Linked DNA regions of Drosophila melanogaster. The protein of the gene in region 3 interacts with the protein of the main gene of each other region in a pairwise test. Each region holds a gene or a part of one and is shown on either strand. Other genes may lie near its edges.

Region 1 (8,852 bases), on a different chromosome or scaffold from region 3:
GCCTCTGCTTTCCAAACCTTGATGGTTTTATCATCTCCCACGGTGAAAATGCGACCTCCGTTCTGGGTGTAAGCAATGCCGCGAACGAAACCGTCGTGGGCCACAAAGTTCCGAGAGCTGATACGATTCGCCAAGTCCCAAATGCGCACTTCGCCGTCATAGGCGCCGGTGGCCAAGGTGGAAAGTTGCTTGGGATGCTTTCCGAAGCAGGAGACTCCATCGCGATGCCCGCTCAAATTGCAGACGAAGGGTTTGGCAAATACTCGATCCAACTTGGTGGCATTCAGGGCACGCACGTATTCCCTGGGACCCTCCAAAGGATGCAGCGAAGGATCGTAGTTCCTGGGCACTGAAAGTGGCATTCTTATAATACTTTGGTCTTTCTTCGTATATGAACTTACTTTTGTGCTGTTGCAGTTTGGTTTCTCGGACATAGTTATCCGGATTGCGACTAATCATTTTCACCTTCATCCTGATTGCATTTATTAAGCTTTTCTGCGGCGTAAAATAAAATTAATCGTGAGTTTCGAACATAAACAACATGTGCGTGCTACAGTGTTGCCATACAGAGCGGCTGTCAGCTGATTGTGTTGAGTAGTGGGTGTGGTAACACTAATGCAAAACCAATAGGGTAACACTGAAATTTGAAATTTTGGAGGGAATTCTTCTGAGTGTTGTATGATCAATCAAATGCAACACAGTTCACGTTCATTTTATGCAAATGCATAATACTAAAAAATTTCTTATATTTGATTAATTGTACATCAACCTAGTACTGATAGCAACCAAAAACGGCAGCAATGCAGATAAAACTGCCACCATCAAAGGTGAAGGTTATGTAGTCATCGGACAGCTCATCCCAAATGGCGCGAGCTCCGTAGAAACATCCGGCTCCGGTCTGCTGGTAAAGCATTACGTTCACAACGTGCTTGAATCTTGGAGAAGAGCCGCGTCCCTTCATCTTAATGTTTATGTCATCGGCGACTTCGCGGGTCCATTTAAGGGCTTCCGATTGATTATAGGTCTTGTTTGCCAGCTTCTCCTTGACCACCTGGGCTATCATCAAGCGAATGTACGGCAATGGGAACTTCTTGCCGAATGCTGGTCCCATGTTGTAGTAGTTATAGATGGTGACATCAGATGCCGGCTTATCCTCATTCCCAGGCTCCCATTCTTCATCCGAGTCACTGTGGGACATTACCTCGGATCGGCTGTCTGCGCTGACCGCGGACGCTCGAAAGGACTCCTTTGCAGTCGACAAGGTTTTGGGTCTTTGTGTCGACATTTTTGCGATATTTTTATCTGTGTTTCGTTCAAATTCCAGATAAACTTCGATTGCAATAAGTTAAGAGAAATAATCAGACAGAACAAATTTTTCATGGCCATCTAGTTTTCCAAAGAAAACACAGTGATTGGTAAATAATAAGTTCAATTTTCGCTTTTTAACCTTTTTTGCAATTATAAAAAAATCTATTGTTTTGTTAGTTTTTTATTTCGCATAAACATATTTTTGTTATTTTTTTTTACACTTTCCATTGTCTAAATGACCCAATTTTTTCTAGTTAAAATATTTCAAAGTTAACCTAACGTTAAGTAGTAACCAAAAGTGAAGATTTAACGAGCTGAATGCCTGTAACGTCGAATACGAGGATGTCGATTGGAGAGATTCTGAATGTAGGTGTCACTACTCTGCTCTTGACTTGAGCGTTCCCTGGCCTTCGGTGTGAGCAAGTCATCGACTGGATTCTGGTTCTGACACTTTTCCATTTCCTCCTTTTTGCGCTGCTGCTGCTGAAGCTCGTGGACTTTTCGCAGGCAGCAGCAGTTCCTGAGCGCATCCATAAAGCACTCTAGATTCCTGCGAAAGATCTCCAGATTCTCCGGAGAAATGGGCGACTTCTCCGCATGACAACACTCATCGATGACCACCTGGGCATGGAATATACACTCGCTAGCCTGACCGAGTGTATTCTTTAGATTGAAGATTTGCTGTTTCTTCTTCAACTGCATTTGAATATAGCGAGTGCACAGCATCTCGAAACGGCGCTGTTCACTCCGGTACTCATCGAATAGCTCGTCGTATTTGGAGTGCAGCTGCTCCGTTTTGCTTTGAAGTACCTTGAGAGCCTTTTCCCTCTTGGCTAACTGCCGACGACTTTGGCGATGGGACACGGAGAGCTCAACGTAACTGAAAATGCGCCAGAATACTTAGTGCCTACATATGTATACCCTTTTCTAATATTGTTGAAAACTTACCGCTGTTGCATCAGCAGTGGACTGATGGAGTCGTACAGCTCACCAATGGAGTTCACATGGGAGCCACTGGGGCCCCTCTTCTCCGGATCGCTCTCACTCGAACTGGAGCTATCGATTCCCCGGAGCAACTGCACCAGTCGCTCGTTTCGCTTCCTTTCCGTGTCCAGTGAAAACACCAGTTCCTGAACCCGTTCTGTCTGCCGATCGAGGGCCATTCGGAGCTTGAACTCCTGCTGCCGATCCTCGTGAATTGTGTGCTCCAGTTCATTCACTAGTCGCAGTATCTGTTGGACGGTCTGCTGGTAGGGATTGGGCTCCTGGTTTTTGTTCAGGCTGGCATCAGTTGAGGCCAGATGATTTTCGCCCAGTGATATGGGCTCGTCCTCTTCGTCCTCCGAGGGAAGTAAGAGACTGGAAACGGGATCCAAATTTGAATTATTTGAAGACGAGCTCGACGTGGAGCTAAGAGGGGCCAGGGGACGACCCAAGTCGCTCTTTCTCGTGACGGTTCCGAAGCCAAGACCGTTGCTCACACTCCTCAGAAGGGTGCTCAGGTTCATCCTTGGTCCTTTCCCACCTCGTGTCGCTGTCGTCGTCGATGTCTCCGTCTTGTCACCTGACTGTAAAAGTACTCAGGTGTGTGCTGCGCTGTGTGCTCGGCTTGTTTGTCACTAAATGACTGCCTACTTGTGCTCGGTACACTACAATAAATAAATATAAAAACAGATACTTTTAGATGCTTTTAAGATATTAGCTTTTTTGTAGAATTGATTCTCTATCAATGTTTAGACTTCTAATTAAACAGCAGGAAGTCAAAAAGTTGTGGTTTCTATTATGAATATAGCAATATTTACTACAATTTAAACAAATTAAATTATGTAAATTTCTTCTTATTGGTTTCTGAAGCTTTTCTTAGATTTTTCCGAGTATACCAACAGCTATCCGAAAGTTGCTGCCTTCCGGGCTCACTTTCCATATGGTATCGCACAACTTTTTAAATTGCTTTCAGTTTTAACACCTTTGCCTTCAGTTTTCCCGGCACTCAATCAAAGTTGTCGTTACTCCGCCACCGATTTCATTCCCTCGCATATGTTCTGAAGGCTTTTCCCGACTTTTCCCAACTGCCTTCACAGCTTTCCTCTGGTGTTTGTTAGTCGTGCGTAAATTGCCATTAGCCAAAAAGGGTTGCCAAGACTTGATACACTTATTGCATTTTTATGGGCCAAACTTTTGTTGTTTTTTCCTCAGTTTTTCCATTTTTTGGTTTTGCTGACATAGAGAGTTGCATGTATCCTTGATTAAGAGCGATACATACGTATTGTAAACTTGATTGAGGCAATTTTGCAATCGGTAAAGATTGTGGAGAATACTCGAGAGTTGCCTTTACGTCATGGGTTTCAGTAAAATCCTTGATGATGTTTTTGCACCAAGTAAAAAAATTTATTGTAGTAAATTGCAGCATATTAACTAGATTTAACTAGATATACAAAGGTTATAGTATCGCTGCTATTGACAATTAATTATACGAGGTTCACTTAATTTTCCGACTGCTACTATGACAGCTACCGGATATAATAATCCGATTTTATAGTTTATATATTTCATAATTTATAATAAAATATGAATATTCGTTCTTTTAATCCAGACTGAACCGCTTTTTGAAAGGAAGTGGAAAATATTTTGTACAATGGTTGCTTTTGAGTTTGTAAGAGTTTATAAAAAACTAATAGTCGCCGTAAAATTCGTCAAATCAACCCAAATATAAATCCTAATCAAAAATGAAATATTTTTTTTTGGATATGCTTATTTCACATCTTTAAATCCATTCAGCGATTTCAATGGAGTGTTGGAAGACTCAGCCGCAGCTCTTATCTGGGTTCCTTGGATGCCCATCATCACAATTTCCTGATAGTTTCTATTTTTTAACATTGTTTCGAGCTTGTTAAGCAATTCCCATTATTCAATGGCCTACCAAATTATTTTAAAATTACACTTCCTTAAATTTCGTTGATGAATTATTATTAAAAATGCTGGAAGTAAGTAATAGAATTAAATCTAATCTGTGAAGACTGATAAGGCCGTCTAAGATATCGCTTAGGTAACTGCATTTGTAAGCTTTTATTAAACAAGAAAGATTTACTCCACGCTCTTGTTTGCATTCAAAAAACGTAAACATTTTTATTTTCTCTTAGCTGCCCGTCTTTCTCTTTTGGCTCTCTTCTTTTCACTTATTGTCTTTTGTAACAGCTGAGCCATCGCTTGGAATTTTCCTCAGTAAAGCTCCGTTAGCGCTGGCGGCTGGCCGCTTCCAAAAAAAATTCATTAGAAAGTTGTCACAAAAAATTTGTTATTAATATTAATCAAAATTCAAGCAATTAAGATAATGGCTCGGTTAATTTCGGGAGTTCGCAATTTGTTCCATCGATATCCATTCGTCACCAACAGCGCCATCTATGGGAGCCTTTATGTGGGCGCCGAGTATTCCCAGCAATTCGCATCCAAACGCTGGTTGGCCGTAAGTAAAATCATTTACAGACACTCATGTGCAGAATATGAGCTTGGAGATATATCCGAGGGCGATCTGGCGATTTCTAATCCTATTTATGTGCCCCGTAGACGGCGAGCAAACCTGAGGATATCGATTATGCAACAATAGGAAGATATGCCGTGATGGGTACTGCAGTATATGCCCCAACACTTTACCTTTGGTTCGTGCCCTCAGTTTTATGAATCTGTACATACATAGCCACATTTTATTATTACTTGCACATGTACACAGTGATGGTCGACATAGTAGCTCTGCTTTTTTGTTTGATTTCTAATACAATCTGTTTATCATGAAATCTATAACTTTTCATTATAATTTCTTATTTCTAAATTTCTGATTTTATGTTATGACTAAAAAACGACACTTTAGAGCAAAAACAGTCAACTTAAAATATTAGTATATAAATCGGAGCTATTACGTTGGCCGAGGCTGTTCATACTAACACATCTGTGGACCATTCAATTTACTCACACTTACATGCTTGCCATTTAACCATTCTTTTTATTTCCTCAATTTGCTTCGCCGTACGCTTCTGTTGTTGTTTTTGACTTTTATCAATTTGTTTACGATTCCGGTAAAGCTCCATGAGCACGTGTCGCAAGTCAAGAGCATGTCTCTCCGCCATTTTTATCACTTTCTCTTCACACTTTCTCTTTAGAAGCACCCACGCCACCAGAGCACCAAGCTTTTCCTCTTTAATTGAGTGAGAGGGAAAAGCTGCCCAGAAAAGCACGCAACGCACTGAGAAATTGGGCATATTTGCACGACATAAAAGTCAAAATGCAACGTAAGTTTGGGAAGTTGGAAGTTGGCTACTGGGGATCTGGATTCGAAAAACAAAACTTACAAAAGAAAACAAGATGCACACAAGGATATACAAACATAGGGAATAAAGATCTCGGAATATTATAAATACATATCACAAACACATACACAATGTATGAAACACTTACACATAAATAAATACTAACACCATAAATTGATTACAAATATGCAAACACACTATATAAAGTAACTCCAAAAGCACTATATATACACCAAAAAAAGATCTTGCTTACCTAGCCTGCTTTAGCTTTTACTTTGATGTCTTAAATATAATCAAGCATATATATCAAGCATAATAATTCAAATAATCAATTTCCTAGGTACAAATGGTTAGATCGCGCTTTTCCTGGCACCACTAAGGTTATCATAGTTAAAAAATTAGTGCTTGATCAGTTTGTACTAACGCCTTATCTATTGACTGTGTTTTATGCAGGTAAGTTCCACTGATACACTCAAATGTAAAGATTAATTAATGTATATTAAATTAATAATACATTTTCATGTTTATTTTTGTACGCTTAACACATGTTCTCTGTTATTTGACAATTAACAAACTAATTTCTATTTCCAGGCATGTCCATCATGGAGGGCTCTGCGGATATTTTCCTGGAACTCCGCGAAAAATTCGTGCCGACTTTTATGCGTTCCTGCATTTTCTGGTTGCCCGCGCAGGCCTTGAACTTTTCCCTGGTTGCACCCCGATTCCGTGTCATCTATATGGGTATTTGTGGATTGATTTGGGTGAATATTCTATGTTGGACCAAGCGGCAAAGTCTTCCAGTCGCAACGAAAGAAATTGCAACTGATTCAAATAATAATGCAGCTGCCATAAGGAATTCCGAAACATGAGATTTGAATATACACCATACACCATAACCATGTATATAGTCCTAGATAGTTTTTGACCATGCATTGCCAAATAAAGGAGAAGCAAATAGTGTGGTAGACTTATTTATTTAACCTGATTGCAAAGCGTTCGTATACAGTGCGTATGATTGATGTTCCCATAAACGGAAACTCATCAATTACTACTTACCCTCTATTCATCTATTTCTGTGAGTGCGAGCTTGTGTGTGTGTGTGTGTGTCTGCTGTTTATCAGCGTGTGTAAGCGCGTTAAATTGTGTGCGTGTGTGCGTAAATGTTTCCATCAACATTTGCCACACTCAAACAATAAAGAACTATCCTGCGTATCCCGCTGGACTCCGTGCACTGAACTCCCTAAACCAAAATTTATGTGACATATAACAAAAAATTCAATTTTTTAAAATTATCCCTGTTTTTGGTTCAAACATAACCAGGTGCGCTTCGTCACTACGTGCACTGCTATCCATAGTAGTAATCAGGTTTCGTCACTTATAAGAGCTTTTGTATGTTTAAGTGGGTTTTGCCTTAACATTTACATTAGATATTGTTCCCTAATTTATGTCTCTTGTTCAATGGCAGCTATCCGTGGCTAAATGCATTGTAATTCCCCGATCGCATTAACTTTTTGCCTAATTATTGCTCATCTCTACCATCTCGGCCGACTGATGCCCATGACCCCTGACCCACGAGCTTACGGAGCACCCAGCAAAACTAATTAGACGTGGCGTGTTTCGGCTGCCAACTCCCTTCGATATCCGCCCCATGTTAATGCGTTGAGTGTGTGCGTCTGTTTAACTTATTGTTGTCTATTTAAATTGCAATTTGTCAATATGCGTGTGTGTTGTAGTTACCGCACGCCCATCTGAGGCCACCTCCTTGTTTTTCCTCACAGTTTTCCATTTGCACTGAAAGAAATCGTAGTAATATAAAGCATTTGATAGCAAGCTAAACAAAATTAAACATGTCCTCAAAATATGTACGTTAATGAAGTAGTATTATATTATATCTATATCTTGTTTTAAGGGCAAATAGTATCCCTACGAATAAGATATATCAATAACTCCAAATTCAATACACTCTGAGTTTTATATAGCTTACATTCTATGAAGTTACCAGCACCCATTTTTCGCTGTGTAGGCAGTCTTACAATTAAACTTCTTGTGCACTCATTAACAGCACATAACGTTGGCCCAGCCTGTGTCCAGGCTGAATTTGCTAAACTTGGCAGACATCGTAGCTCCAGTTCAAACCGACCCTCTTAGTTCCCATTTCCCAAGAACTCGACTTGGCCAGAAATGCGTCTACTTCCTTTTGGACCGCCTGCAAAGGTCCTTTTCCCACTCCTTTGACTTTGACGTCTTCGCTGGATTCTCTAGGTTGCTGCTGCTGGTTCTTGGTTCGTTTTTTGTGTGTGTTTCTTTTTTTTTTTTATTTACATCCGCTTGTTTGTTCAAAGCGGAAAATTAATTCCATCTTGGCTTGTTTCCGTTTATCTTGAAAAAGTATTTCGTCGTCTTTTCGCTTTATACCGTAGACCGCCTCGCCCCTTCAACGCCGCCCCACTTTGTTTTACTTTTATTTTCGACAGCCTGCTGACCAGCTGAAAACTGCTTTTCCTACTTTATATTTGTGTGTGGAGCCGGGGCCAGGGACTATTTACTTCATCTACTCGTTCTGGGCAGATTTTCGGGTGCTTTCTTGGTCCGCTACAGAAATTAAGGGTATTTGCGGTTAACCAAGAATTCAAAACTGTTTTCTAAAAATTTTAATATGCACACTAATCTGTAGTTTACTTTAAAAATTAACTAATAATTTAGTTTCAAACACGTTTATTTGGGATTAATATATTTAGAATTCAATCCTAGCTTATCTTGCGTGAATATTAGAAATTATCTTAAAATTATTGCGATTATGCAAACATCATTTAACTTACTTCTGCAGAACTTTCAACTTTATATATTTATACAGAAGAAAAAAAATAAAAAAAAAATTTTCAATTAGAGCATACAGAGTTCCGCGTCCAATCGCCATTCGTGTTTGGCTTTCCACTCTTGTTTTGTTTTGCTTTGGCTGTTTGCCTTGGGTGGGCGGTGGATCCTTGGCCCCGCCCACTTCCTGTCGCTCCGGCCATCGTGGCGTGAAACTAGCGCGTCGCCCACCACACGTACATTAAATTAAAAATTAATTTACAAAAATAAACAGAGTTATGCCAGAGGAAGCGTCTCCCGTGCGATACCGACCATAAGAAGCTAATACTAATGCTGCTTCATTTGATTCAATTACCGGAAGCAGTCCGTCCAATCTGTCCGTCCGTCCGTCTGTCCGGCGGAACAGAGCGGAGCGGATCGGAACCGCCG
Region 2 (8,462 bases), 6.7 Mb from region 3:
CCACATCGTAGGCGCGACGCGACATTAGAGCCACAATATCTTCATCGAGACGGTCCATCTTGAACTTGGCCAGATCGGGACTGAATGTGATGCGTGTGTAGTCAGTGCCATTGAAGTCCTTGATCTGTGGGTTTACTGAACATTAGATGATGGTCTAAAATAAGAAATGTTATTTCCTTACCTGCACATCGGAGGCTTTTCCCATGTTGTTTCCCCAAGTCTGCTTGAAACTTTTCTTGTATTCCCTCGTGGCAGTCTCAACGGTGAAGCTGGTGGAGAATATGTTGCAGAGCTTCGCTCCGTATCCGTTCCTGCCGCCAGTGACCTTCTTCTCATCGTCGTTGTAGTTCGACGAGGTCAGCAGATGACCAAAGATCATCGTTGGAACGTACATCTTCTGCTCCTTGTGCATGGTCACCGGAATGCCCTGGCCGTTGTTCCACACGGACACCATATTGCGCTCCGGATCGATGTCGATCTTAATGGTGTTCATGCTCTTGTCTCGCTGCTTGTTATCTGCCGCATTCACAAGAATCTCGTCGAATATCTTGTAGAGGCCGGGCACGAAAGAGATCTCCTTCTGCACCATGCGGTTTTGGGAGTTGTCATACACCCACATCAGCTCCTTGGTGAACTCCACGGATCCGATGTACGAGTCGGGTCGCAGCAGGATGTGCTCCAGCTGCGACTTCTTCTGGTACATCTGTTCGATGGACAGGGCCTTGTTTCCGTTCTCCATGATGCTTCTGTCGCTGTGCTTTAGCTGAATCTTCAAAGAGTAAGCAAAAGGCATTTGTTAATGTAATATTAATATTAATAACTAATATTCCGAGCCATTGCCTTAGCTACTATTAATCACTCGTCCTGCGTTCTACTAAGTAAAAAAAAAACCAAAGCTACTAGCAGAAGACTACAGTACCCACCCAGTTAACAGTTGCTATTAGTATATTAGTAATATTATGTTCACGTTTTTTTTTTAATTGTTATAATACCAAATAAGATAGATGGCACCCAATATGTTTAATGGCCTCTTAATAACGGGGATGGTTGTGCGTTGGCATGTGATGCCAATGCTGCTGATGCTGCTGTTCAACAATTTTTTATTAATGAATGCGCACTGTACCCACGGTGAAAAAAAAAAACAAAACGCGCGCCCGCGCATTGCGTAAATGCCGTCCAGACAAACGCTGCAATGGAATGGGACTTGGCCAACATGGGAAATGGTTGGGTACGTCAAACAGAAATAACTGCAGATAAATTGAAAAACGTCAAACTAAGTATTATTTTGCCTGGTGCTACTGTACTGGGAACAGATTTTCAGCACACTTTGAAATACATAACAGCCCTGTCTCTTTGGCGGCAACGCTTGGCGTGCGCCGTCTGTTGCGTGAGTGTGCGTGTTTATTGGCGTTTGCCGGTAGTCACCGCTATTTATTATTTCTTATTAAGGTTCTTCGAGGGGTTTCACTTTATAGTAAACAAATTCAGGCCTACATACGCGCTCCGCGCTACAAAATCAAAAAACTATGGTTTTTAAAGGCCCAAAATTAGCTAAATGTCTATACCGGTATCGCCATTTTTAATTTGCAAGCGACGCCACCGAAAAATTGCTATATCCATCATATTAAAGGATTAATTAGACAGGGCTCTTAGGTTCTACGGTACAGCCAATTCTACGATTATGATTCAGCACTTTCTGCTTACCTGGTTAAAAAATTGCCAAGTATTTGTGGCCTTTTCTTGCTGCCGCCGACAACCGAAGTGCGGCAAAACTCTATGTTGCAGGCGATACACGAGGCGGTGCACTACAATTTTCGACTTGTACGTGCCCCACGCGTCTGCTGCCTTTAGCTAAAACTTGTACAGTTCTCAACTAACTATTAAAATACGCACAGCACATTTAACAACTTTTCACAACCGACAACAAATGAGAAGTATTGCTGGTTTTAGAGCTGGCAAGGCGCACAAATCGATGTTTGAATGAAATCGCTATCGATAAGTCCCATAACAGTGTTGTTTGGGTTGGTGCATACGCTCATTGTGAACAGGGCTAAACTAGTAACTGCGGTCGGTGACTCCGCTAAAAGCGTGATCGCCAAAATCACGGTTTTTTAGTTCTATCTCAATCACGTGATGAGTTAAGCAACAGTTAATTCTAAAAAATTCGAAGGTAATAAATAATAATAACATTTTTGGGGTTAAATTCTTTTTCGAGTCGAAAGTAGGGGTTTTAATTATTCCAACTAACATTTCTTCTATTTTTTACATTATAAATCGGCATTGAAATAAATGTAAAAAAGATAAAATATTTCGATCTAAATGCAAATTATCAAAAATTTAAGACAAAGTAAAACCATTAAGAAATTTATCCTTTCATATGCTTAGTATTGTATCCCACATCAATGTGATATACAGCAATTACTTAAAATGAAATGAAATGAAAAATTGCTGCTAAAGTTGCATTTGTGCAATTAAATTTCGCACCGTTGAAGTGAAGATTGCTTTTCAATTAACCACCTGGTAATATGAATATTCCAAAGCCAAGACCATGGCTACAAGAGAACTGGTTTTCTTTCTGCCATTTTGCCTGACCTTGCCCAACACGACGTCATAAAGGGGCATGTCCCTCCCCATCCCGTTGCGATTTTCATTCCGGCTCAGAAACATGTTTTGAATAGTGCAAACAAAATATAAAGATTCTGGATTCATCCGAGTTACTCGGAATTTCTGCTTGGGTAATGGAGAACCCTTCACGCAGTGACGTCACCGGAGCTCATTGAACTTGCACAGCATCGAATATCGTCCAGAAATATTCTCTACTCCTCCAAATCTGTTGATTCTCGTTTGACAAGCATCAGCAAAGATCTCTCAATATGCGGAGTGCAGTTTGTACCCTGCCAAATTGGGAATTTCAGCTGATGCATGGGAAAATTGTGAACTAGCGGAGTTAAGTGCAGTTTATTCCAGGATACTATTAGCAAGTTGAACAAGATGTGAGCTAAAACTCCTAAGATTTGGTAAGATAAAAAGATAAACATAAGTACTACAATTAGCAATTAGTTTCTTTTTTTTTTTTTTGAATAAATTGTATGTATATGTATTGTTAATCAACAAATTTTACTTAATTGCGTTTTTAAGGGTGTTTGCATCGTCGTTTCATCGAGCTGGCTCTCCCTATTTTCAGATGCTGGTTTCTCGTTCTCGCATACTGGTTTATAGTCATAAGTGCTGCGCTTTTTCTCGACTTTTTCCATTGAGACTTGTGTTCATAAAATCTTCTGTTCTAAGCGATCCCCAGCTCAGTTTCATTCCAAGCTTCTGCGATGCCACTTGTGTGCGATCTTCGTTAAGTCGGATTCCCCGTACTGCAAGCTGGAAAAAATAGAAACCGTGACCAGAAACAGTAACCGCCACTCGGATTGGATTATTACCTGGTAATGAAAGTGAAGACCCCGAGCTAATGGGGCGATTTAAACAGGTGTTTAAAGGTGCAGGTGGGGCTGTGAAATAATCGCTTATTATCAAACACCCTAATGGGGGGCACTATTATTGTGATTATCTTGGGATTATCAAATCCATGTAGACAATTAACGACAACAATGGCGAGTTCATTAACACTTGAACCGAACTACGAGTATGTATGTGCTGGGACTTAAGCACTGCAATCAGGCGTACTTAAAAGTGCATAATGTGTAATTAGTTGGAATTTGTTGAATATGATTAAATATTGACCCAGGCACTTTGCACGGCCACCACGTGTGAAATTTGTGTGTGCTGCACTTTGAGATCGCGGTGGCATCATCTCACAGTATCTGCCAAATACGCGTCGAACTCACACAACGCTGCACCGCACAGACCCCAAGCGACCCGATTAGCCATTGGCGAACTGGGAACGCGGCGGATAATGCCTTATCAGGCAGTGGCTCCTCTACAATCGCGGGGTTCACTGGGGGCAAGTTTGGGTCTGGCTCTGCGTTTTGGGGTGTAGGGATAGGAATTGGGAAATCCGGCCAAGGCCAGGTCGAGGTACACCTAACAAGAGCACATATTTTGGGGCTGATGCTGAACACTATGCAATTCCAAGATTAAGCTAGCAATGTAACAATCGGTACTAACCCCCAATTAGTATATATTTATATTATATATATATATATTATTATATTATATTAATATATTTTAAATGATTTTAAAAATTTTAATGATTTCATTTTGCATACATTGTTTTGAAAGTGTACCTACCTAATGTATTGATTGCTGGAAACAACCAACCCAAAGGCAATGTTTCTAAAAACTAAGTGCAGCCAAAACTGAGTAATTGCACAACACTTTACTTATACTATATTGTTTATAATTCTTGTGGATTCCCGCTCCATCAATTAAGTACAGCAGATTCACTAAATTTAGCTCGAGCTCAGTGACACACTGTTATCACTCATCGGCTGTCTCCTTCGCGCTATCGCAATGTTCATTGTTGTTCGGTTTCTAGTTAATATTTAATGGTCGCATACACACTCGTACATGTTTAGCGACAAGTAAAACAGCATTTCGCCTGGGACTGTCACCACTTGGCCCGATTCTGGTTCCGATCGGGGGCTCAGTTTCACACTTGGAGTCGAGCGGATCACAGCCCATAAATGGTAACAACGAGAAATTCATCCAGCAGTGACATGCCAAATCTCTCTGAAATTTAAATGTCAATACGGGTGGCGAAATGTTGCTAACAACGAAACAATCGGGAACAGTCATATTGCGCTATTCTCAACTGGATTTATTTTTATTTACATTTTGCGCGAGTGAAAAGCGCTTATCAATGCACCACCCCCTTATGGCCACATTGTATCTATAGTTTGGGCTTTTTTTAGACGACCAGCAGTGGATGCCGCACCATGCCCACCATCGAGCACAAGCTAAACATCACCGAGGAGGAGGTTCCGGAGCACATCCGCCGACTTGCCCAGGAGCAGGGAGAGTGTCCCAGTTCCAAGGATAAGGTCATCGAACAATTCCGTAACTACATACTAGGTTGGTTATAGTCCGTTGTCTAAGAGGTACAAAGGTATTCATCTGAACAAAACCTCTCCAGAACATAATGAATGCCAACCACACAGAAGTGATGCGAAGTACCTGGAGAAATTCCTAAGAGCCCGCTACTGGAAAATCGAGAACAGTTACAAATTGGTAAGAAAACTTGGGGAAATCTTCATTTTAGTTTGCCAACAGCAAGTGACTATTTGATAATTATCTATTAGGTAAATGCAATAACTCATTCCCTTTCAGCTCTGCAGTTACTACAGGTTTCGGGAGCAGAACAAAAGCTTTTATGAGAAGGTTCGTCCTCTGGACCTGAGACATGTTGGGCAATCGGACATCCTGACAGTGACTCCCTATCGGGATCAACATGGCCATAGGATACTCATCTACCGATTCGGACTGTGGCGACCCAATCAAGTAACCGTCGACGATATATTTCGCGCCACCATTGTCCTGCAGGAACTGGGCAGCCTGGAACCCATCTCACAGATTGTCGGAGGAGTGGGAATATTCGATCTGAAGGACCTGGGCTTGGAACACATACTCCACCTGAGTCCCAGCGTGGCTCAGAAGATGATTGCTCTACTAGTGGTAGGATAACTACTTTTTATTATTTTCAATAGCTTTTTTAACCTACACTTGGCTTGCAGACCTCCATGCCCATTAGAACATCCGCCCTTCATATTGTAAATCAGAATTGGGTCTTCAACGCGGCATTCAAGATATTTAAACCTTTCCTCAACGCCGCTATGCGAGAAAAGCTATACATCCATGGCAGTGACATGACTTCCCTGCACAAACACATCAACCCAGAACATCTTCCCAAGCGGTAAGTAAAATGGTTTTTTTTTTTTATTAAAATAATTAGTCAGATATAATTAAACTTATACTATTTCAGCTATGGTGGCTTGCACGAGGACTACTCTTATACGCTCTGGTTGGATATGCTGAAGGAGCAGTGTTCGGGCAATAGTATCCAAAAGGATATGGAGCAATTGGGATTCATCTTTGACTAGGCTTCATGCCTTGTTTAAAATGATATGCTTGATACTTGTATTTTTGTACTACATATATGTTAAGTAATGATACCAGAATCAATTGAAGCAAAGTAGGTGATATTTTAAATATTAAAGAATTTCGAAAATTACTTCTACGCAATATTACTCACCAAACAATTCATTTGAGTTTCGTTCCCAACAATTTGAGGTTAGAAGCGGCATAAACCGTAATGCTTCATACATTTGGCGGTCACATCAATGACCCATCGGCTATCACGACCAAATTCGGGGCAAAAGGCAATAATAATTTGTTCCTAACCGAATCAAATGGCCCGGCTAGCCCGCAAAACATTCGTTTCGGTTAGGATGTATAGCATATTGGTCCTTTGAGTTTTATGCGATTCGTATGCAAAATGCGTTAGGTGCTAGAGCGAGACAACTGGCCACACGACCATTCGCCGTTATGGTAATTGAGTGTTGGACAACGCATAAAATGCAGTCGGTAGCCATAAATATGTTTGCACTCGTCCTGTCACCGGATGTGAGCGAGAGGGGAGATCGAGCTCGACGAACAGAAGGAGGGTGCTGGAGATTTCGATTCCTCCATCTGACCGTTGCGAATATGTTTGATATTTTTTATTGAATCCCGTTGTCTCAACGCTATCCTCCGACCCCCGGAAGTCATTGCCGTCTGCGTAAAAAACGGTAAAGAATTACTTTCTCGACTTAAAGTTACTCTGTATTGTCAATTAGGTTTCATGGTTAAGATTTAGAAATTTATATATGGTTACACCCAAAGCTTCAGAGTTTAGAGCATATACTATATATAAACTGAAATTAAGTATATATAATTAAATGTTTGCTTTCGGTTAAAAGTATATTGCTTCACAAATTTTTTTCGTCCAAGTGCAGGGTGTCCAAAGTCAGAATCCTGCCCCCTCTATTCTCCGCAATGGCCTTGCTTTTCCGTTTGGTCAACGATAGTGAAATTGATTTCGGTGCTACCGGGGGTCTAGGTTGGCATTATGCGTATTATGTGTATGTGGCTCGATTGTGGGGATGGGGGTGGCCATAATCTGTGTGCGTGCTGGACAGCTGTGTGAGTGCGTATAAAGGACAGCGACATTTGTGCGATTAAAGCGACAAGATTAAAAAATTTATTGCGCAAATATTTATGGGGGGACAGTAACACAGTGGCAGTCAGAACGGAAAAAACATTCGGACAAAAAACACACATCGCATAGCCTACATTTGGGGGGCACGACCGATGCGCGTTATTAGTTGGCTTTTTGGCATTTCGGCTTTTGGCTTCTGGCTTCTGGCAACACGTGTGTGAGGCGAAACCGAGCTGGACATAATTTATGGCTGGCAAACTGAATTTATTCGAGTTTTATTGAAAAACAAAGAAGGCGGTCAGAAGGGGCAAAGGATTCGTTTTCTTCAACATGTGCTGTCTTTTAAGTAGCCAATGTCTTGGGGATTTCGAGATACACATAAATATATCATTCCGAGGACGACAGAAATCTTTTTGACCAGTAACTAAAGGAAAGTCATTACAAATTGAGCAAACGAGTATCCAAAACCATTTAAAACCACTTAGATAGTTCGCTGGATTATTAACTTTAAAGGGAACCATAGTTGGTACTTGTTTGATTTCTAATTAGTGTCATTGTGTGTCTCTTCTATTAGTATGCTCTGAACTCAATTTACTCTTGAAATAACCTCCGATTTATTATTCCGTAGACATGCAGAAAGCCAAATTCCCCAAAGAACTTCCTCAATTCGAACTCATCTGCTTCCGCATCTCACTTCCGAAATTGGCCATATTATCCAGGAGACACATTTGAGGGCGTTCCCCGGCTGTCAACTGTCACCGAAGGCAGTGTCAAACTGACAGTCGTTGACATCCGTTGACAGTGTACCTGACCTCAATTTTTCCCTCTCTCCCAGAAGATATGTTTGCAACCCTAAACGGATAATTGCTTCCTAATGAGCTGGCAAGGGTGACCCCGACCGAATCAACCCCTCACTCACACCCCGTTTGGGTTTCCTTATCACCGAAGGCGGTTTATCACGCGGCGATTGGCAGGCAGATCCCAGGCCAAAAGCAAAACACAATAGGAACAAATAAATTATGTCCAGCGATTTGTAAACAAACATCAACTGTGCCGAACGGGGGTCAATTTCCCACTGCCCCGCGAAGTGAGGATTGTTCGGGCTTGGGGGATTTCCATAAATAAGGACCAGGCCAGACCAGTATAATTGAAATATTCGCTGTCAATTTGTTGACTCCGGAAGACGACGACTCCAGGCCCGAGGCGAAGGTGTAAGCTGCATAAATGGTGGATCGTTATGGTTCTGTTGCCACAGACACCGATTACCACAGGTCCTGCCGCAGGACGAAGTATGTTTGCTCGGCGAAGGACCTCCCAA
Region 3 (7,516 bases):
AGAAGCTAAACTTGCTGGGGAAGATCGGCTGCTTTCTGTGCATACTGGGATCCACCATCATTGTGATTCACTCGCCCAAAGAGAAGGAGATCGAGGATTTGCAGCTGCTATTCGATATGCTTTTGGATCCGGTTTTCATTCTGTACGTGATCTGCATCGTCGGTTCCACGGTGTTTGTGGCCTGCTTCATTGCACCACGGCATGGGCACACCAATGTGGTAGTTTATATCTTCTTGTGCTCCGGCATCGGATCTCTGACTGTGATGTCCTGCAAGGCATTGGGCCTAGCCATACGGCAGACGCTGAATAACGGAGGCAACGTCTTCCTCACATGGATGCCATGGTTCCTGATCCTGGTCACCGTCACTTTCATAGCCATCCAGATGAACTATCTGAACAAGGCGCTGGATATATTCAATACTAGTATAGTTACTCCAGTGTACTATGTAATGTTCACCACCCTGGTGATAGCTGCGTCTGCCATCCTCTTCAAGGAGTTCACCCACATGCGGTTCGATGATATTCTCGGCGATGTGTGCGGCTTCCTGATCGTTATCACAGCTGTGTTCCTGCTCAACGCGTTCAGAGATATTGATATATCGCTGAACGATGTACGTGGACTGATGCGACCGAAAATGCAGCGGGTGTCGCAGTTCGACGAGGAGGTGCTGGTCACCAGCAATACCAAGGAACGGCGGCTGTCCTACGGATCCAGCGACATCTTCCGGAAGGCCTGACACAAGCAGCGCTACCAGGTCTAGTTACATCCCTTGCAGCGGCTGACCTGAAGACAAGGTTGCTTTACTCCGTAAACGAGGCATTGGTCCAAATATCTGTGCATATCACCTGCAATCACTTTCATCTCATCATTTCCATTTATTGTTCCTTCACTCTTGTTATTCATACATTCGCTAGCATAAGCACATAGGTTTAGGTTACACTTACATATATTAAACACGACTTAATGAAAACGATTTGTAATTGTAGTTTTATTTTTTGATTTTTGATATGATATTCGTATCTATGTATTACTAAAAAAAAACCATTAAAATATTCTACTACATTGGTAAATGTAGGTCGTTCCAAATCGAACGACAATATTCATTGCAAATAATGTGAGTACATGCTCAATCGGATTTAGTAAAATAAATCTTCAAGTTATTTTCAAGGTTTGTTAGTTAGTAATTTAATGAAGTATCTATGTATTCTGAATTTCGCCCTTGCTGGTCTTATCTGGATATTTTAATCCGTTCAGCCAGATGCAGTTGCTCAGACTTTTAGCGGTGTGAAATGAGTCATCGGCTGAGTTATCCGGACTGTTCTCCACTGGCGGAAGATCCTTTGGTCTACGAATCTTTCGTGGCGTGAAGAAGTCGCGATCTGTGATTAAAGGAAATCGCTGGCTTTCATTTGGAGCAACCGCAGGTAAGCTGATCTGCGGCTGGAGTGTCAGTGAGTCCTGTTTCAGGGTCATTCTTCCGAAGTTCCGGATGATGGCAATCGCCTCCACGTCCACCATTGTGGTGTCCTCCCAGTCCTCCATTGTGGCGTGCTCTCCCAGCGGCTTGGTGCCAGCTACTCTCTGAATCGTCTCCATCATTTGCAGACTTTGACGAATCTCTCGGCCCTTTCCACCCCGCGTGCCATATCCAAGCAGATCCTCGCGGGCTGTCAAAAGCTCATAGGTATGAATGGGAACGGATTCTGAGAATTCCTCTTTCTTCCTCAGTTCATAGGCGATCTGTCCATGGACCAGATTAAAGTGCGGCTCCAACTGCACCAGATCGTGCTCGAATCGTGATGTGGGAACCCAAGCCATGATGATTTCAGTTGCTTATAGTATTCTCACAGCCTTATTTTCATTTCCCGGAAATGCTTTTCTCAAGTAGACTGCGCAAATATTTTCGAAGATTAGAAATTCAAAATCACACATTCCTATCGATAGCGATAAAAACGTTTAAACGCTTACAGGTGAATCGCAACTTATCGATTGTCAGTCGGCAAATAGAACAATAAACAGTTTTTTAATTAATCCAATTTGGTTTACTTAAGCAATAAGGATGATTTGTATGCGGCTCCGGGTGTTGCGTAATCTCAATCGCAGCGCTTTAAATGGATTTAGAAAAGATTACATCCGATCAACCGGTGTGAATGTCAATTATTCAGCTGTCAACTTTCCGGCCGCCATTAGAACGCTGAAAACTTTTAGCAATTCTATCCTAACCAAGGAACCGAAACCAATCTTTGCATTTATCGCATCTCAGCGGCAGTATTCTTGCGAAAAAGTAGGCAAAACAATGGAGGAGCACTGCGTAGTTCCGGATGTGATCGCCAAGGCACCGGCGCAGACAGCTGTGGTGGAATATCCCGGCGATATTGTCGTGAAGCCGGGTCAGGTCCTGACCCCCACCCAGGTGAAGGATGAGCCGTGCGTGAAATGGGAGGCGGACGCCAATAAGCTGTACACCCTCTGCATGACCGATCCGGATGCGCCCAGTCGCAAGGATCCCAAGTTTAGGGAGTGGCACCATTGGCTGGTGGGCAACATACCCGGTGGAGATGTCGCCAAGGGCGAGGTTCTCTCCGCCTACGTGGGATCCGGGCCTCCACCAGACACCGGACTCCATCGTTACGTTTTCCTGATCTACGAGCAGCGGTGCAAGCTCACATTCGACGAGAAGCGACTGCCCAATAACAGCGGAGATGGACGCGGTGGCTTCAAAATCGCCGAGTTCGCCAAGAAGTACGCCCTCGGCAATCCCATTGCCGGTAACCTCTACCAGGCTGAGTACGACGACTATGTGCCCATCCTCTACAAGCAGCTGGGCGCTTAGTTTCTACGCCAAAAACCATGCTTATATAAGCCAGTCTGAATTGGATTCAAATCTATTGTAACCTAGAAATTAAAGACACCTATGAACACTCTGTGAAACCCTCTGTTGCTGGCAATAAAATTGTTAAAGACATATTAACTAAGCCACTGTATCTTATTACACATTTTCAATATTTTCATATCTTATCTTGTTAATTTGTCTGAAGTAATAATTCGGTTACCCTTTGCTGAGGCAAAACAGTTTCTGTGCTGGTTATGTATTTATTATTCATTCCAATTACAATCTACTTCTTTATCAATAGGATTCTTCTAGCGTCATTTGTATACATACAGATTTCATGAACTTGAGTTTATATCTCGCCAAAATACATGCTTTGAAGATACAAGACATAATTGCTATCGGACCTTCCAAATAGGAAGAACGTTTCTGATCAGTATTATAGTTATTTCCCAGGGCGCAAGAGACGCCCATCTGGGTAAGTTATTTATTTGTAAAAGCATTGCGACATAATTACAATCTACTTCTTAAAGTCAAGAGGATGGTTCTTCATGTGTGCAATAATAAAGGTCTCTAATACAACTAGATGCAGACTCATACAATCCATAAAATAATGCTGAAGAAGAACCCACGCTCTATTTCCTCCTTTGATGGGTCCAGTGCATATTCGGCTGTTGAGAAGGAGGGGAGGTGTCTAGTTTCCAAATTACTTTACTCTATAGAGGGAAAGACAGTGCGATGGTCTTTCCATTCGGTTTCGCTGATTGCCTATAAAAAGCAAGGTCGGAGTTAGTTAGTATGAAATAGGCTGCATGACTATGTTACCAACTTACCACTAGCTCGTCGAAAGCCTGTTTGGCCAGCCAGTGGAAGCATGGACTCTTCCATTCGCGCGCAATCGCCTGCTGATCCTTGACGTCGTCCTCGGCGGTGGACTTGGAATTGGTAATGGCCTTGTACTTGGCCCACAGGAAGACCATGCTGCGCAACTTGTAAACCCACAGGTCATTGGGTATGCCGCGAATAATGTCCTGTATTTCCACCATGTTCAACTCCGTAAGGTTATCCAGGAAGGTGCGGTTCATCAACGTAAAGATCGTCTTCATTGTGTCGTACGGCACGTCGGCATTCTTCTCGAGACCAAAGTGTGCCGACTTTATGATAGCGTAAACCACCTGCTCTGTGGTTAGCTTGGGCAGATTGGGTAGGAAGCAATGCTCTAGATTCAAGTTCCCACACTCCAACAGTTGCTGGTCGATCTCCTCGCCAACATTCTTGTAGTCCTTCCACCAGTTGCCCCAATCATTATATTTCTTCGATTCGTTAAGCGGTGCCCAATCGGACCGTATGCGTTTCCTGTTGCGCTTTGCAATCTTGCGAGCCGACTTGGCGTCGTCGGCCACCGATTCGTCTTCCGAATCTTCGTTGAGCACTACGGCCGCCTCTACGAAGTCCTCCTCGGTGGCGTCCTGGTTTGTACTGTAATTGAAGGTTTGTTCGAAGAAGGTCAAGGCATATGAGTCCGCCTCCGGCTGTGGGAGCTTCTTCGGCTGATCGTTGAGATAGGGAATCTTGAATCCGCCAATAAGGAAACCGCGCTTGCGTGCCACGCGTCGCCATTTCTTGACCGACTTGGAGGCAGCCTCCGTTTCCAGCGGTGGAGGTGGGGCAACACGCTTCTGACCTGCAATGCATAACATATTAGGAACTTGTGTATGGTAAAACTATTCCTAGTTGCTTTGCAAAACTCTACTAAATGAATTGGAATAGTTAGAAGAAAGTTTTGTAATGCAACCTTACGAAATAGAACTGAATCTTACTAATTTGGACGGGGAATCCAGGAGCGTTTGGCGGCCTACTGGGCACTCCTGCTGGTTTGCCTCCTTGTGGTCCACCTTTCACTGCCTGCTGGCCAGTTCTAGGTGCCAGTGGTCCCGACTTCTGCAGCTGTGGTCCAGTTTTCAAGCCCTGTTGTCCAGTTCTCAAGCCCTGTGGTCCAGATCTCAATCCCTGTGGTCCAGCTCTTAATCCCTGTGGTCCAGTTCTTAATCCCTGTGGTCCTGTCCTGTTTGCCTGCGGTCCGGTCTTCACGGCTGGTGCGGCCACCGGTGGCTTCTTGTTGGTAACCGAGACCGTTTTCGAATTGGGTGTTACGTTATTGACTTTATACTGATTTGGTGCTGCAACGGGCAGCTTTTTCTGTACTCCAGTCGCATTGCCCGGACGCAGGTTGGCGGTCTTGTTGTTGCGCAGAGTGGGCGCACCTGCGCTTTTGACGATTTCAGCCTTCTGAGGATTGTTGCGCAAGTTCTGGACCGCCTTAGCGGCTGGCTGTGGAGCTGGCTTTCGAACAGATCCGCTGTTGTTCAGATTCATCTTCTGCAGCTGATTGCGCTTCGAGTTGAAGGCGCGCTGACCAGCTTCCCATCCAGAGCCACCGGAACCTACTCCTCCTCCGCCGCCGGCACCGCCTCCTCCACCACCGCCGCTTCTTCCTCCACCTCCGCCACCACCACCACTGTTCGATTGATAGCCAGAGTTCTGGAACGATGATGATTGTGATTTGTTCCAGTTGTTGCGAGAGTCTTGGAAGGTGCGACTAATGTTGTTGCTAAAGCCGCCTCCGGAATTATTGTTGCCAAAGTTACCACCAGAGTTCGGTTTAAAACCTGGGCCTCCGGATCCTCCGACAGCCGGTCCGCGGTTGTTAAAGTTTCCAATATCCCTATTGTTGTCCCCAAAGTTTCCAGAGTTCTGGCCAAAGTTGTTGCTAAAGCCGCCTCCGGAATTATTGCTGCCAAAGTTGCCACCAGAGTTCGGGTTAAAGCCTGGGCCTCCGGATCCTCCGACAGCCGGTCCGCGGTTGTTAAAGTTTCCTATATCCCTATTGTTGTCCCCAAAGTTTCCAGAGTTCTGGCCAAAGTTGCCGTGATTTCCACTGCGTCCGTAGGAATCATTGAAACCGGAACGCTGGTCATCATAGTTAGGACCTCTGTTTGGGAAATTGTCATTGTTGAAGTTGCGTTGATTGTTTCCTCCAAACGAAGGACCACTGTTTCCACCAAAAGGGACATCGCTTCCTCCAAAGGAAGGTCCACTATTGCCCCCATAAGCGGGTCCATTGTTTCCACCAAAAGAGGGAGCATTGTTGCCGCCAAATGGCACTCCATCGTTGGGAACGAAATTACCGAATGATCCCTGATTTCTGGGTTCATCGTTGAAAAACCTATCGCCGCTTCCCTGCGGCTGGGGACCTCGATAGTTGACATCTGGATTGCAGTCCATACGGTTCTCCACCTCCAGCAAGCGGGCTACGTTGCTCTGATTGGATGCTCCCCTGTTCGCTTGGCCGAAATTGGAGGACGGCCCGCCACGAAATTTGTCCTGGAAATTATCGCCGAAACGCTGGTTGCTGCTCGGATTGAAACCGCTCCGATCTCCGTCTCCGGAACGTGGGTAGCTGTTGTTGCCGCCACTGTTGCTGTTGTTGCTGTAGTTGCCACCGCCGCGACTGAAGTTGCCACCATCTGGGCTGGTATTCCGGTTGACGCCGTAGCCTCCGCCACCGAAAGTGCCACCGTAGCCTCCTCTGCCACTGGTATTGCCGCCTCCGCCGAAGTTGGCGCCGCTACCGCCTCCGCCGTAGTTTGAGGAATACATCCCGCCGCCGCCGCCTCCTCCACCACCACCAACGCCGCTGGAGCTCCCCATTCCGCGCCGCTGGCCAATGCCGTAAGCGTCGTTCTTCATTTGGCGGTAGTCCATTCCGAATAGTCCTTGCCCGGATTTACCTTTACGTCGAGCACTCGCCGCTGCTTCCAATTAACTGGCTTCTCTGCGATTTTTTCCAACACAACAAACGCGGCACAAAAAATGCTTTCCTTTCCCCGAATTTTTCACTGTCTGGTGCCAGGGTTGCAAAGCAATGAAAGCCGGCTGCTCAAAATGGTAATAAGTCCGATTCGAAGTTGGTATTTTTATTGAAAAATACTGAGCGTGATAGAAAAATACCGCTATTGAATTAGTTAGGAATACCTTGCAATAAATTATTATTTATTTATATTTTAAGCATTATGTCAAATGTGATTTGTTATAAACAACATTTGACAAATGTATAATTTCGGTTTTGATTCGGTAATATTCTGAAAGCCATCTTCCAAAAAATTTCTTTAGCAAGATATTTATAGAGAAGAAGCTTACTGTATAATTTCTTTTCACTACTATCGTAGTTAATTAAAGAGCTATATTTTATAGTAATATTTACTAATGAATTGGTTGTATTAAGTATTATATTATATTACATACATACTTACACTTTCACTACCAAAGAAAACACACAACCTGAAAATATTGAATCACAAATTCTTTTGAAAAATGTAGAATAAAACATGAGCACGAAAGTCAAACCAGGAAAACCAACAAAAAAAAAAAACATTACAAAAATCTATGAAAGTTAAATATAAGCTAGCTGTTGCCTCGAAACCGCTTTTTAATCTACACTAGTCGGCATAAGTATTTTGACAAAATAAGCGCAGCACATTTGTCAGTGTGTAAGTAATATAAACTTAAAAATTAACAAGCAAAATTTTTTTTATTGAAACTTAAAAAGATATAAACAACTTAATAAAATATGATGTTTTTTTCTTTCGCAGTCAATATATGATATCATTTGAATATATAGAAAA

Evidence for each region. Proteins that work in one complex are often made in the same cells at the same time.
Region 1: the proteins of CG6180 (region 3) and CG12355 interact in a two-hybrid assay, tested with the Drosophila melanogaster proteins (one large-scale study listed by BioGRID).
Region 2: the proteins of CG6180 (region 3) and CG10026 interact in a two-hybrid assay, tested with the Drosophila melanogaster proteins (one large-scale study listed by BioGRID).

Annotation. Positions count from the first base shown.
Region 1 is NT_037436.4:15,490,679-15,499,530, reverse strand, and holds CG12355 (uncharacterized protein), read left to right. Parts: upstream 1-3,981; 5' UTR 3,982-4,292; intron 4,293-4,526; exon of another isoform or gene 4,527-4,628; 5' UTR 4,629-4,639; coding exon 4,640-4,771; intron 4,772-4,872; coding exon 4,873-4,964; intron 4,965-5,253; exon of another isoform or gene 5,254-5,591; intron 5,592-5,949; coding exon 5,950-6,062; intron 6,063-6,200; coding exon 6,201-6,478; 3' UTR 6,479-6,567; downstream 6,568-8,852. Other genes in the region: CG7275 (uncharacterized protein), read right to left, coding at 1-349, 402-471; CG7276 (uncharacterized protein), read right to left, coding at 770-1,285; CG13455 (uncharacterized protein), read right to left, coding at 1,615-2,188, 2,257-2,816.
Region 2 is NT_033779.5:19,451,547-19,460,008, forward strand, and holds CG10026 (uncharacterized protein), read left to right. Parts: upstream 1-4,131; 5' UTR 4,132-4,634; coding exon 4,635-4,637; intron 4,638-4,862; coding exon 4,863-5,022; intron 5,023-5,083; coding exon 5,084-5,178; intron 5,179-5,277; coding exon 5,278-5,622; intron 5,623-5,681; coding exon 5,682-5,860; intron 5,861-5,929; coding exon 5,930-6,047; 3' UTR 6,048-6,177; downstream 6,178-8,462. Other genes in the region: Top2 (topoisomerase 2), read right to left, coding at 1-124, 182-739.
Region 3 is NT_033779.5:12,705,711-12,713,226, forward strand, and holds CG6180 (uncharacterized protein), read left to right. Parts: upstream 1-1,950; 5' UTR 1,951-2,060; coding exon 2,061-2,834; 3' UTR 2,835-2,970; downstream 2,971-7,516. Other genes in the region: spict (spichthyin), read left to right, coding at 1-737; CG15484 (uncharacterized protein), read right to left, coding at 1,199-1,819; CG5787 (uncharacterized protein), read right to left, coding at 3,543-3,599, 3,665-4,515, 4,652-6,596.